Linked DNA regions of Drosophila melanogaster. The protein of the gene in region 1 interacts with the protein of each later gene in a pairwise test. Each region holds a gene or a part of one and is shown on either strand. Other genes may lie near its edges.

The links. Proteins that work in one complex are often made in the same cells at the same time.
Region 2: the proteins of Cp38 (region 1) and CG11674 interact in a two-hybrid assay, tested with the Drosophila melanogaster proteins (one large-scale study listed by BioGRID).

The regions. Positions count from the first base shown.
Region 1 is NC_004354.4:8,478,338-8,484,222, forward strand, and holds Cp38 (chorion protein 38), read left to right. Parts: upstream 1-3,499; 5' UTR 3,500-3,576; coding exon 3,577-3,621; intron 3,622-3,847; coding exon 3,848-4,723; 3' UTR 4,724-4,974; downstream 4,975-5,885. Other genes in the region: Cp36 (chorion protein 36), read left to right, coding at 1,020-1,067, 1,157-1,963.
Region 2 is NC_004354.4:14,223,017-14,227,654, reverse strand, and holds CG11674 (uncharacterized protein), read left to right. Parts: upstream 1-1,775; 5' UTR 1,776-1,851; coding exon 1,852-2,323; intron 2,324-2,384; coding exon 2,385-2,947; 3' UTR 2,948-3,008; downstream 3,009-4,638. Other genes in the region: mRpL38 (mitochondrial ribosomal protein L38), read right to left, coding at 1-89, 160-458, 514-871, 938-1,093, 1,165-1,315; Prp16 (pre-mRNA processing factor 16), read right to left, coding at 3,033-3,630, 3,694-4,638.

The sequences.
Region 1 (5,885 bases):
TAATAAAATTAATACAAAAAAAATATATATATATACAAAAATTTGTTGTGTTTGAATTGAATTAAGAGCTTATCAAGAAAAAAATTTCAGTGACTCATAATACACTACTCTACAAGTTTAAATTGAATCAACAATTTAACTTTCATTGCTCAGGTTTTTAGTAACAATGTTTATATAAGTTTAGGTATAACAAATGATTTAAATATAAGATACTGTATTTCACATTGAGACGAAACAATCCACCGAAAATCATAAAATATAAGAATGTTGCATTTTATTTTTAAAAATAAAGATGCCTTTTAAGAGGAATAACTTAAATGTCTTTAATACCTTTGAATTTAATTATATGGCTAATAAACACAAACTTAAAGCTTAAAACTGCATCGAATTGAATGCGGTTATAAATGTACTTATATATCTAATATAATCTGCTAATATGGTTTACATGGTATATCTTTCTCGGAAATTTTTACAAAAATTATCTATTCATATATCTCGAGCGTAAGATATTTATCAGTTTATAGATAACATCTTTAAATTTGGGTGATTAAAAAAAAACATTGCTGCAGGGCATGTTTATGTACACATTTCAGTATAAGTCCCAAGTTAAAATGCAATGTAAAAACATATAAAGGATATTAACTTCAAACCCAAAGGATTGCAGAGAGATTGCAGCACAGCTGTAATCATCGCAACAAGGCAACCAAAACGAGACTCTCGTAGCGTTGGCATCATATTCGATCTTTGGAAGAGCTATGATTCAAGCCAAGGGAAACAACTGCCAAAAAATAGAAGATTGCGACGAGCGGAAAGCAGAGTGGTGCACCACGGTGCATAGGTGCATAGGAGGTTGGTTGTCTAGAGATCTGGGCACGATGGCGAGACAAAGATGCGGCGCAAAATCGGAAATGGAGATGGATCACGTAGCCGGCCATGGCGGGCAGCGATTATAGGCGCTATAAAGAGCCGGAGTCATCGCCAGACAGCGAGCAGTAGACGATCCACACGTAAACGGCAACATGCAACTCGGTCTCTGGTTTGGCATTTTGGCCATCGCCGCCACGCCGGTTAGTAGCTTTTATCCATGGCATTCGCATTGGGCATCCCGCTAATCTCGCAAACTCTCTCTCTCTCTCTCTTACCTCCTCCTCATTAGCTGGTGAGCGCTAACTATGGTCCCGCTGGCGGACACGGACACGGACATGGACATGGACAGTACCTGTCCGGTCCCAATGCCGGACTCGAGGAGTACGTGAATGTGGCGTCTGGTGGCAACCAGCAGGCTGCCAATCAGATCGCCTCACAGGCCGAGATCCAGCCCACGCCGGAGGAGGCCCGTCGTTTGGGTCGCGTCCAGGCCCAACTTCAGGCCCTCAATGCCGATCCCAACTACCAGAAGCTGAAGAACTCCGAGGATATTGCCGAATCTCTGGCCGAGACCAATCTGGCCAGCAATATCCGTCAGGGCAAGATCAAGGTGGTGTCGCCACAGTTCGTTGACCAGCATCTGTTCCGCTCCCTGTTGGTGCCATCGGGCCACAACAATCACCAGGTGATCGCCACCCAGCCCCTGCCACCAATCATTGTCCACCAGCCTGGTGCACCACCAGCCCATGTGAACAGCGGCCCACCGACTGTGGTGCGCGGCAATCCGGTGATCTACAAGATCAAGCCCTCGGTCATCTACCAACAGGAGGTGATCAACAAGGTGCCCACTCCGCTGAGCCTCAACCCCGTCTACGTGAAGGTCTACAAGCCCGGCAAGAAGATCGAGGCTCCACTGGCCCCGGTGGTTGCACCCGTCTACAGCCAGCCCAGGGAGTACAGCCAGCCCCAGGGTTATGGTAGTGCCGGAGCTGCTTCCTCCGCCGCCGGTGCCGCCTCCTCTGCCGATGGCAATGCCTACGGCAACGAGGCTCCACTGTACAACAGCCCCGCGCCCTATGGCCAGCCCAACTACTAAGGTGCTCATCCTGGGCATGGGTTGCTCCTCAGCTGCGACAGCTGGTTTAATTTAAATTTTTGTTTTTTTTTTTCTTTGCCGAACTACTGAGCGCAAATAAATGAAAAAAAAATACTTGAAACGTAAACGTTTTGTCATCAATTATTTTCGACCGGAAGGGGCTACCTGAGTGGCAATGAAGCACACAGATTAAGCACATATTTATGAATATATAAATATATACGAATGCATGAGAGAACAAAAAATTATATCTAGTTTTCTTCAAAAATAAATAATAAAGGGGAAAATGGTATAAAGTATGAACATAAAATTATGAACGAGTATAAATAAGTTTGTAATTGAAATCTCTACGGTCATACAAGTATTTTAACTATTCTATAAATATGCATAAACATGGTACGCATTTTATGAGATACAATTCGAAAGATATTGGATAGCATTATCATGCATGAAATTATTTCACACTCTTGTGATGGTAGCTATCTTATTCCAGTTATCGTTTAATTGCAAAGAATGGGATCAAAAGGTCATCTTTATCAACATATTGTTGATTCCGGAATGAATAATAAATAATAACATAACTATGAATTAATGGAGCAACTATAATTTTACGGCCTCTTTTCTTTTAAACAAAGAATATAGCACTTTTAATGCATTAAATACGTATTTAAACCTTTTCTTTTGAAACGCCAAATTCATATTAGAGTTTCATAAGATTGTTTTAAAACATAACAACATAATAATTGAAGAATTGGAAATCTTTTTAGGTGTTTGTAAGCCTTTGAATTCCTAATTGGAATAGCTAAAGATCCATATTTCATCTTCAAATCTCTTTGCAACTAGAGATTTATTTTATCTGGCAATTATTAAGTATACATTTTTATATGGTACTTTAAACTGATGGTTTAATCAGTTACATGGATTTTCTAAATTAAAAATGGTCATGTGAAGATAGCCACTCTTCTAACAATCTAATCACATTTATAGTAAGAAATACAATACAATACAATACAATACAATACAATACAATACAATACAATAGAAAGACAATCGAATCTGCGCAATCCGTGTGAAATTCAAGGACTACAGCTGGGTGGCTAATCATTTCCCCCTATCCACTTACACCTCGGATTACCTCTTATTCCGACTCCCGGAGTCTTGTGTCTGCCAATGCGGAACTATTTTCGCTATCTGAACAGACGTTCGGACCTCGATATGCGGCAAAGATTCACAGCCCGGCTGTTGATTCCGATTCGGTGGCAATGTGTTCGTTGTTATTGTAAAACGGGCAATGGCAACTGGGCAGTGGGCAGTGGGGTTTTCGGGTTGTGGCTTCTACGTAAGTGGAAGAGACGCCGTGATATGCGCTGGCAGCGATGCGTGCGATCTATCAACATTTGGCCATGTTTCGTTCGCATCGCGTGGGCCCGGAGCGGAACAGCCGGCACCGGAGTTGGCATCAATCCAAATGTCACGTACCCGGAGCCGGAGACGCGTCCGGAGCATATTTAAAGTAGTCGGCCACCAATGGAGGGCAGCAGAAGACAGCAGACAGTCCAAGCGGGAGCACACCAGAAGCCGAAGAGCAACTGGAACTGCAACTGGGAGACAAGATGACGAGATCGACCTACATTTGGGCGCTGGCCGCCTGCCTGATCGTAAGTGTTCAAGCTCGAAATCTTAGGATTAATCCCAAGAAAACCAAGTCTATCAATTCTGACTGCTTTCGTTTGTGCCATGTAAATCGTACATGAAAAGCAAATTGACTTTCCTTTAAATTACTTGAAACGGAATCAAGCTATCTATCGATGCTAGACTTATTTTAAGTATATGTATATGTCGATCCAATTCTAATCCACCCCCCCCCCCTCAATTTACTTTTAGGCCTGTGCAAGCGCCAACTACGGCAGTTCCCAGGGCTATGGACCCGAGTCCGGAAGCGGTGCCTCCGATGGCGGTGCTGATGCCGCTTCAGCGGCCGCAGCAGCTGCCGGCGGTGCCGGTGGAGCTGGTGGCGAGTACGGTGGTGCTAACGCCGGTGCTGGTGCTCTCGAATCCGGAGCCGATGCCGCCGGTGTGGCACAGGCTGGCCAGAGCAGCTACGGATCCGACCAGAACATTCCGTACAAGCCGGTGAACACCAAGGGTAACACCCTGACCTCATCGATCACCTACCCGCAGAACAAGGGCGAGATCCTCATCCATCGTCCCGCTCCCATCATTGTCAAGCGTCCGCCCACCAAGGTGCTGGTGAACCATCCACCATTGGTGGTTAAGCCCGCTCCCGTGGTGCTCCACAAGCCCCCAGCAATCGTTCTCCGCAAGGTCTACGTCAAGCACCACCCACGTCGCGTCAAGGTTGAGCCCGTGTTCGTCAATGTGGTCAAGCCCCCAGCAGAGAAGTACTTTGTCAACGAGAACAAGCAGGGCTACGGACAGGGCTCGCAGTCCCACGGACACGGCCATGGACACGGTGGCCATGGACACGGACACAGCGGACACGGACACGGTGGACACGGTGCTGGACCCCATGGTCCTGGACCCCATGACGGTGGCCGTGCTCTGCCCGCCTACGCTTCGGGAGCTGATTCCGCTGCCGCCAGCGCTGGCTATCAGCTGCTCCAGAGCGGCAACCAGGGTCTGTCCGCTCTTGCCAACATCGCCGGCGAGCGTGAGGGTCCCTATGGTCCCGCTCCAAGCCATCAGCACTATAGCGCCGGTCCAGCCGGACATGGCGGCTATGCTGCTCCCGCCTATTAGGTAACAGATGCGGAGGAGTTACGGATTGGATGACTGCTGCGGCTCCGGAATCAACTGAAGCGGCTGGTTTAGTCATTCGCTTATCCGGCTGATTAGTTACTATGTTTTTTTTACAAAAAAAAAAAAAAAAAACAGCCTGATCGACCAACGCCCATGCCTACGCCCACGCCCACTCATGCACACCCCAATACCACCCACTCACCCATTCAACGGCCCAGGAGGGGCGTGGCACTCAGGTTTCTTTGCAAAACAAATAAAAAATTTGAACAAAAAAAAAAAAACAATTATACCCAAGCTGAATGTTGTTTTCGATGAAGGGTGAAATCTAGATGCTAGTTATATTTAAATTAAACTATCATTAGATATATACTCTAATTGATAGTTATTGATAGTCTTGCGACTCATTTTAAACTTGATACACTTATAGCATAGACAGTGAGTAATATCATTGATATTATTATATAATTATTGTTACACAAAGTGCATATGATGAGAATCGATTTAATGATGGGAGAACTGACTTACCCGCAACTTTATTCGCAGCAACAAGTGTCGCATATAATAAATACAATAAATCCGAAACGCAGGCTGTCATTACACACATCGTTTGGTTGTCCTTCCCCATTGTTGTGCGTTATGCCAATGGCATCCCACGCAATTGTTCAATAACAAACGGGCGGCAAAATCGGCTATAATGATAGGTAAGGCAAAGAAGAGCTCGGCTGATGACAGGTGGAATCGCAATTTAGGTCGCCCAGTGCCGCCCATTTGGCAGTTTGAAAATTCAGCATAAAAATGCGATACCTTTGCACAGAGATTTCAGTCTGTAAGCAGAAATAAATTGAGAGCATTAATAAAATAACCAACTAAACAGAATTATTAAAGCGAGCCAAAACAAATCGGTTTCAAGTTCAAATATTTTTTTTTGCGAACACTTTTCGGTGATAAAAAAAAAAAAAACAAAACCAAATAACCAACAACAGAGGCGAAATGAGTCACTTATGCTTCCTTGTAATGGGTTTGTGTTTCGCAATAATCGCCTACTGTTCTGGACAAGTTAGTATTGTTTTAACAATGACTGATATGTTAACCATAGAATAACAACAAATAATACCTATAACAAATTTTGTCCAGGGTATCACAGAAAGTCCTTATAACCGAA
Region 2 (4,638 bases), 5.7 Mb from region 1:
CAAATTGAAGGGCTGCTTCAGCGGGAAGAACTTCTGGTCGGTCAGGTACGGCTTGGGGAAGTCGTACTCATAAACGGGCTCTTTGATCTCTGCGCGACAGATGACCAGCATTAGTATGAGCTACGGATTGCTGGTAGAACTATGTACGTTTCTACTTACTCAAGACATCGTGGTAGAACTGCGTCAATGACTCGTCCCAGTTGGTCTGATAGAAGGCCAGGCCAGCCGGCGTCAGTTGCTCCTGGTGCTGACGATAGAAGTCCAGGGTGCTGAAGGTGCGCTTCTCCAGATTACCGTAGTCGGCAGCAGCCAACTGATAAGAGCCGAGATCAAGGCGCGCCTGCTGTTTGTAGAGCACAAAGACCATGCGTTGGTAACCAACGCCGCGCGGCGGGAACGGCGGTAGATACTCGGCGAGAACCTGACCCTCGCTCACCTTGCCGTTGGGTATGTTGGCACTGGAAGAATAGGGATGAATTAGCATAGGATGATGCGTAACAAAACGAAACTTACATGAACCAATGCAGACACTCGGCAGTTCCATTTGTGTAGTGCGCATCGGGATTGCTGGCCACCAGGGTCCAGTAAGTGTCCTGGCCGGCGGCTTGTCCCGTAATGGGATCCACTAGGCCATCGAAATCGATCTGAGGCGCCTTGGCTGCCTCCGTCGGCTTGATAACGTTGCCATTGTAGACGGGTGCCAGGCTATCGCCGTCCAGTTGGTAGCTTATGTTGAGCGGCACGCGGGGCACAAAGTAGGCGCTGCCAAAGAGGTGCTCGAAGATGCCGTAGTGGTCCGCCACCAGGCGAAGATCATGCTGGCCCGTGGTCTTCACATAGGTGCGCTGCACCTTGTCCAAATCGATGATCACTGTGGATAGACAAATAAACAGCAATGAGCACATATACATCAATAGTCCCCAGGATCGCTACTCACGCTTGTTGCTCCGCGCCAGCTGCTCCAGCTGCTTGTCACTGCGCTGGGACTTCAGGTGCTCCAGTCGCTTCTTTAGCTGCGCCGAGCGCGACTCCTTCAGCTGCGGGAAGCCAATGTTGATGCGGGCCACCACCTCCGGATCCTCAACGTTCTCCTCTGCGGAAAGACATCGATGATACGCTGGTTTGTGGGCCGAAAAGTGATCCCGAGTGGTTACATCAACTTACCACGAATCCGCTGCTCCAGAGAACGGGCCACGCCGGGCGGCTTGCCGCGTATGGTGTGTCCTTGCCGTGTGGCAGTCATCAGGACGGCGGCCTGCGCATCACGCACGGCCACAGTTAGGCCACTTTTCATTAACAAATTACTGAAAGACATGGTGTTTTGTAATTTGCCTTGCTTTTCAGGCGGCTCGCGTTTTTCTAGCGTTGCCGGATCGTCGACGAGGTGAAAGGTTGCCAGACTGTGAGCTTGTAGCGCTAAATGGTTTTGATGAGCTTTAAAACTATCGGAATTTAAAATTTTTTTAAAGTAGATAAGTAATTTGGAATAATTAAATAACTCATCGCTTGAATTTATCTTGGAGCAAAAAATCTCTTCATATTGAGCAGGTGAGCAAATGCTTATATCAGATGGTAACTTTTGTTTAGGCCCTGGTCAAAGTTTTTAAATATTATTTAATAGTTGGTCAAGTAACGAACACAAAATTGAATTTTAATGTTAACCATTAAGTAATTAAGGTACATTTTGACTGAGGTGTATAAAAAGAGATCTGTTGTCTTAAACAAAAAAGGATAAATTAGCAGCACTAACCAATGGACAGTTTTAAATTGAGCTTTTCTGGCAGTCCGCAAGTAACGGTACTGGTTTTCTCCAGTCGAACGAAGTGGAGCAACCCAAGTGAACTGAGAAACATGCTAGCGATGCACAGGTGGATCCTACTGCTGCTGGCCGGATTTCTAGCGACTGGTCGGGCGGAGGATCTGCTGGAGTTGTCCTGCAGCTCGGACGCACAGTGCGCCCAGTTTGAGCGCGGTCGCTGCGTGGACATGGCCTGCATCTGCACAGCACGTGGCTCCGGCGAACGGGTGCCGTGTACGCCGCTGGAGGAGCGCCTCAAGCTGACCAACATCATTGGTGGTGCCTGTCCATGTCCCATGCCGAATGCCATATGCCACACGCGATGGCAGCAGTGCCACTGCTCCGAGGGTCATGTGTCCAGTGACGACCGCAGACGCTGCCTGCCGGCGGTGGTCCCGGTGGGCGGAAGCTGTGAGTTTCAGCAACAGTGCCAGCGGGCGGATCGGTTTAGCTCCTGCATTGGCAACCAGTGCCTCTGCCTTAACCAATTCGAGTTCCACGAGGGACGTTGTCTTTCTGTTTTGCGTGAGTACACTGGCAGAAATAGCATAATTTACATGAAATTCCACCTCTGTATTTACCTTAGAATCAAGCTGTCTAGAGGACAAGGATTGCGGCAGCTGTGGAGCCTCGATTTGCCTGACAAAGACGAAGCGGTGCGGCTGCTCCAAAAACTTTGTGCACAACCACAACATGACCAAGTGCATCAAGGGCTCCGCTTACGGTGACACGTGCGAGCACAGTTCGCCGTGCAAGCTAAACCTGGGTGCCGATGGCAGGTGCCTGGATCACCTCTGCGTCTGCCGTTCGACCCACTACCCCAAAAGGGTAGCCAACGAGGTGGCCAAGGACGAAAACGACGATCTCGATGCGGTGAACAATCTGGAGCGGATCACTTGCGCACCCATCGTGCCGTTCGGGGCACTCTGTCGAAACGATAGCGAATGCCGGATGCAGCCCATGGACCAGGAGAATGCCACAGCATCCATTGGCCATCCCATGGTGTGCAATTGGGGCGAGTGCTCCTGCAGTAAGACCCATCGACTGGAGGACAACAAGTGCGTTTTTGTGGAGAACTCCGCAACGAATTATCAACTAAGAGGCTTTGTGGCCTTCCTTTGTATCCAGTTCACAATGATTCTTTATTAGGATGTAGCAAAAAAACTTGTTAAACTTAAATTAATACATTGAACACACGCTTCACACGGATATTTGTATCTGTATCTGCATCTGCTCAAAGGCCAATCCTGGCCGGCGTGCGTCGGGGCGTGGCATTGCCCGGTGTGGCGATCTCCTGCTTGGTGGCCAGCTGTTCCTCCCGTTCGGCGGCCTGCTGCTTGCGCTCCTCCATCTCGTGCTGCGCCTTCAGCATCTGCTCCTCCATCTCCTTGAGATGCTCGGCCGCCTGTTTCTTCTTCTCGCGCCCGCTGCGACCGGACTCCTTAACCGAAAAGAACATGGGACCCAATTCCGCCAGCCAGTAGCCATCGACAGCGGTGGCGCACTGCATATACTCCTTGGCGGTCATGATCAGCTCGTGATAGACGACATAGTCGGGCGTGGTGCCCAAGCCATACAGCGCGGACGTGGGATGCAGGTGGCATGGCATGCCAGTTCGCAGATTGACATACTCTCCGATACCCTTGAGCCTGGCCGCCTGGTAGAAGTATGCCGAGCAGATGCACTTCCTCACAATGTCCCAGTCGATGCCGCAGCTTATAACGCTCAGATTCTGTTGCGTCATGATGTCCTTAAGCTGCTGCCGCACCTCGCGCACCTTCCGCATCGCCTTGATGTGGATAAAATGTTCGTTGCACCAGGTCGAACTGTAACTGTGGGCGAAAGCAACGAGTTGTTCATTTCTGGCGGAGATTTGCCGCAATTGTAGGACTTACTTGTTCTGGCGCCACTGCTGATAAACGTTGAGGTAGGTCAGGTGATCGGACTCGGGCCTTTGGAACTTTTCGCGCACACCATCCGCCTCATCCTCGCGGCCCTTTGGCCGGTAGAAGATCGATGGCACGGACAACATGGAAACTATGATCAGCACCTCGGCACTGCAGCCCATGCGGCAGGCCACGATTAGCATCTGGCACTGGGGCGGATCCAACGGGAATTCGGCCATCTGGCGACCCAGTGTGGTCAGCGCACCAGTGTGGTCCAGTGCTCCCAGGATCCACAACTGGTACAGCGAGTTAAGAATGTTATCCTGCGGCGGTGGATCCATAAAGTGGAATTGCAGCAGATCGACGACGCCCAGTGACTTGAGCAACAGCACCGTATTGGCCAGATTGGTCCGCTGAATCTCGGGCACGGTTAGGGCCAACAGCTCGTCCTTGTACTGGCGCTGCGTATACAAGCGGTACGCCTGACCGGGTCCTGTGCGTCCGGCACGACCGCTGCGCTGATTGGCATTCGCCTGCGATATGGGATAGATCTGCAGGGCGTCCATGCCGATGCGCGGATTGTAGACCTTCAGTTTGCAGTAGCCGGAATCGATAACGTAGATGATGCCGTCGACGGTTAGCGATGTTTCCGCTATGTTCGTGGCCACCACACACTTGCGCAATCCATCGCTGGATTTCTGAAAGATCTTTGCTTGCAAATCGGACGGCAATTGCGAATAGATGGGCAGTATGCTTAGTGCCGGCGCATTATCGATCTCCGCCAGTCGCTCCTCGAGCACCTCGCACGTCACCTCGATGTCCTCCTGGCCGGGCATGAAGATGAGCATGTCGCCCTCGTTGGGCGTGAGGTGAACCTGCAACGCTTGCTTCACCGCCGATTCCACGTAATCCTCGCAGGTGTTCTTGCTGAACATCACGTCCACGGGAAAGGTG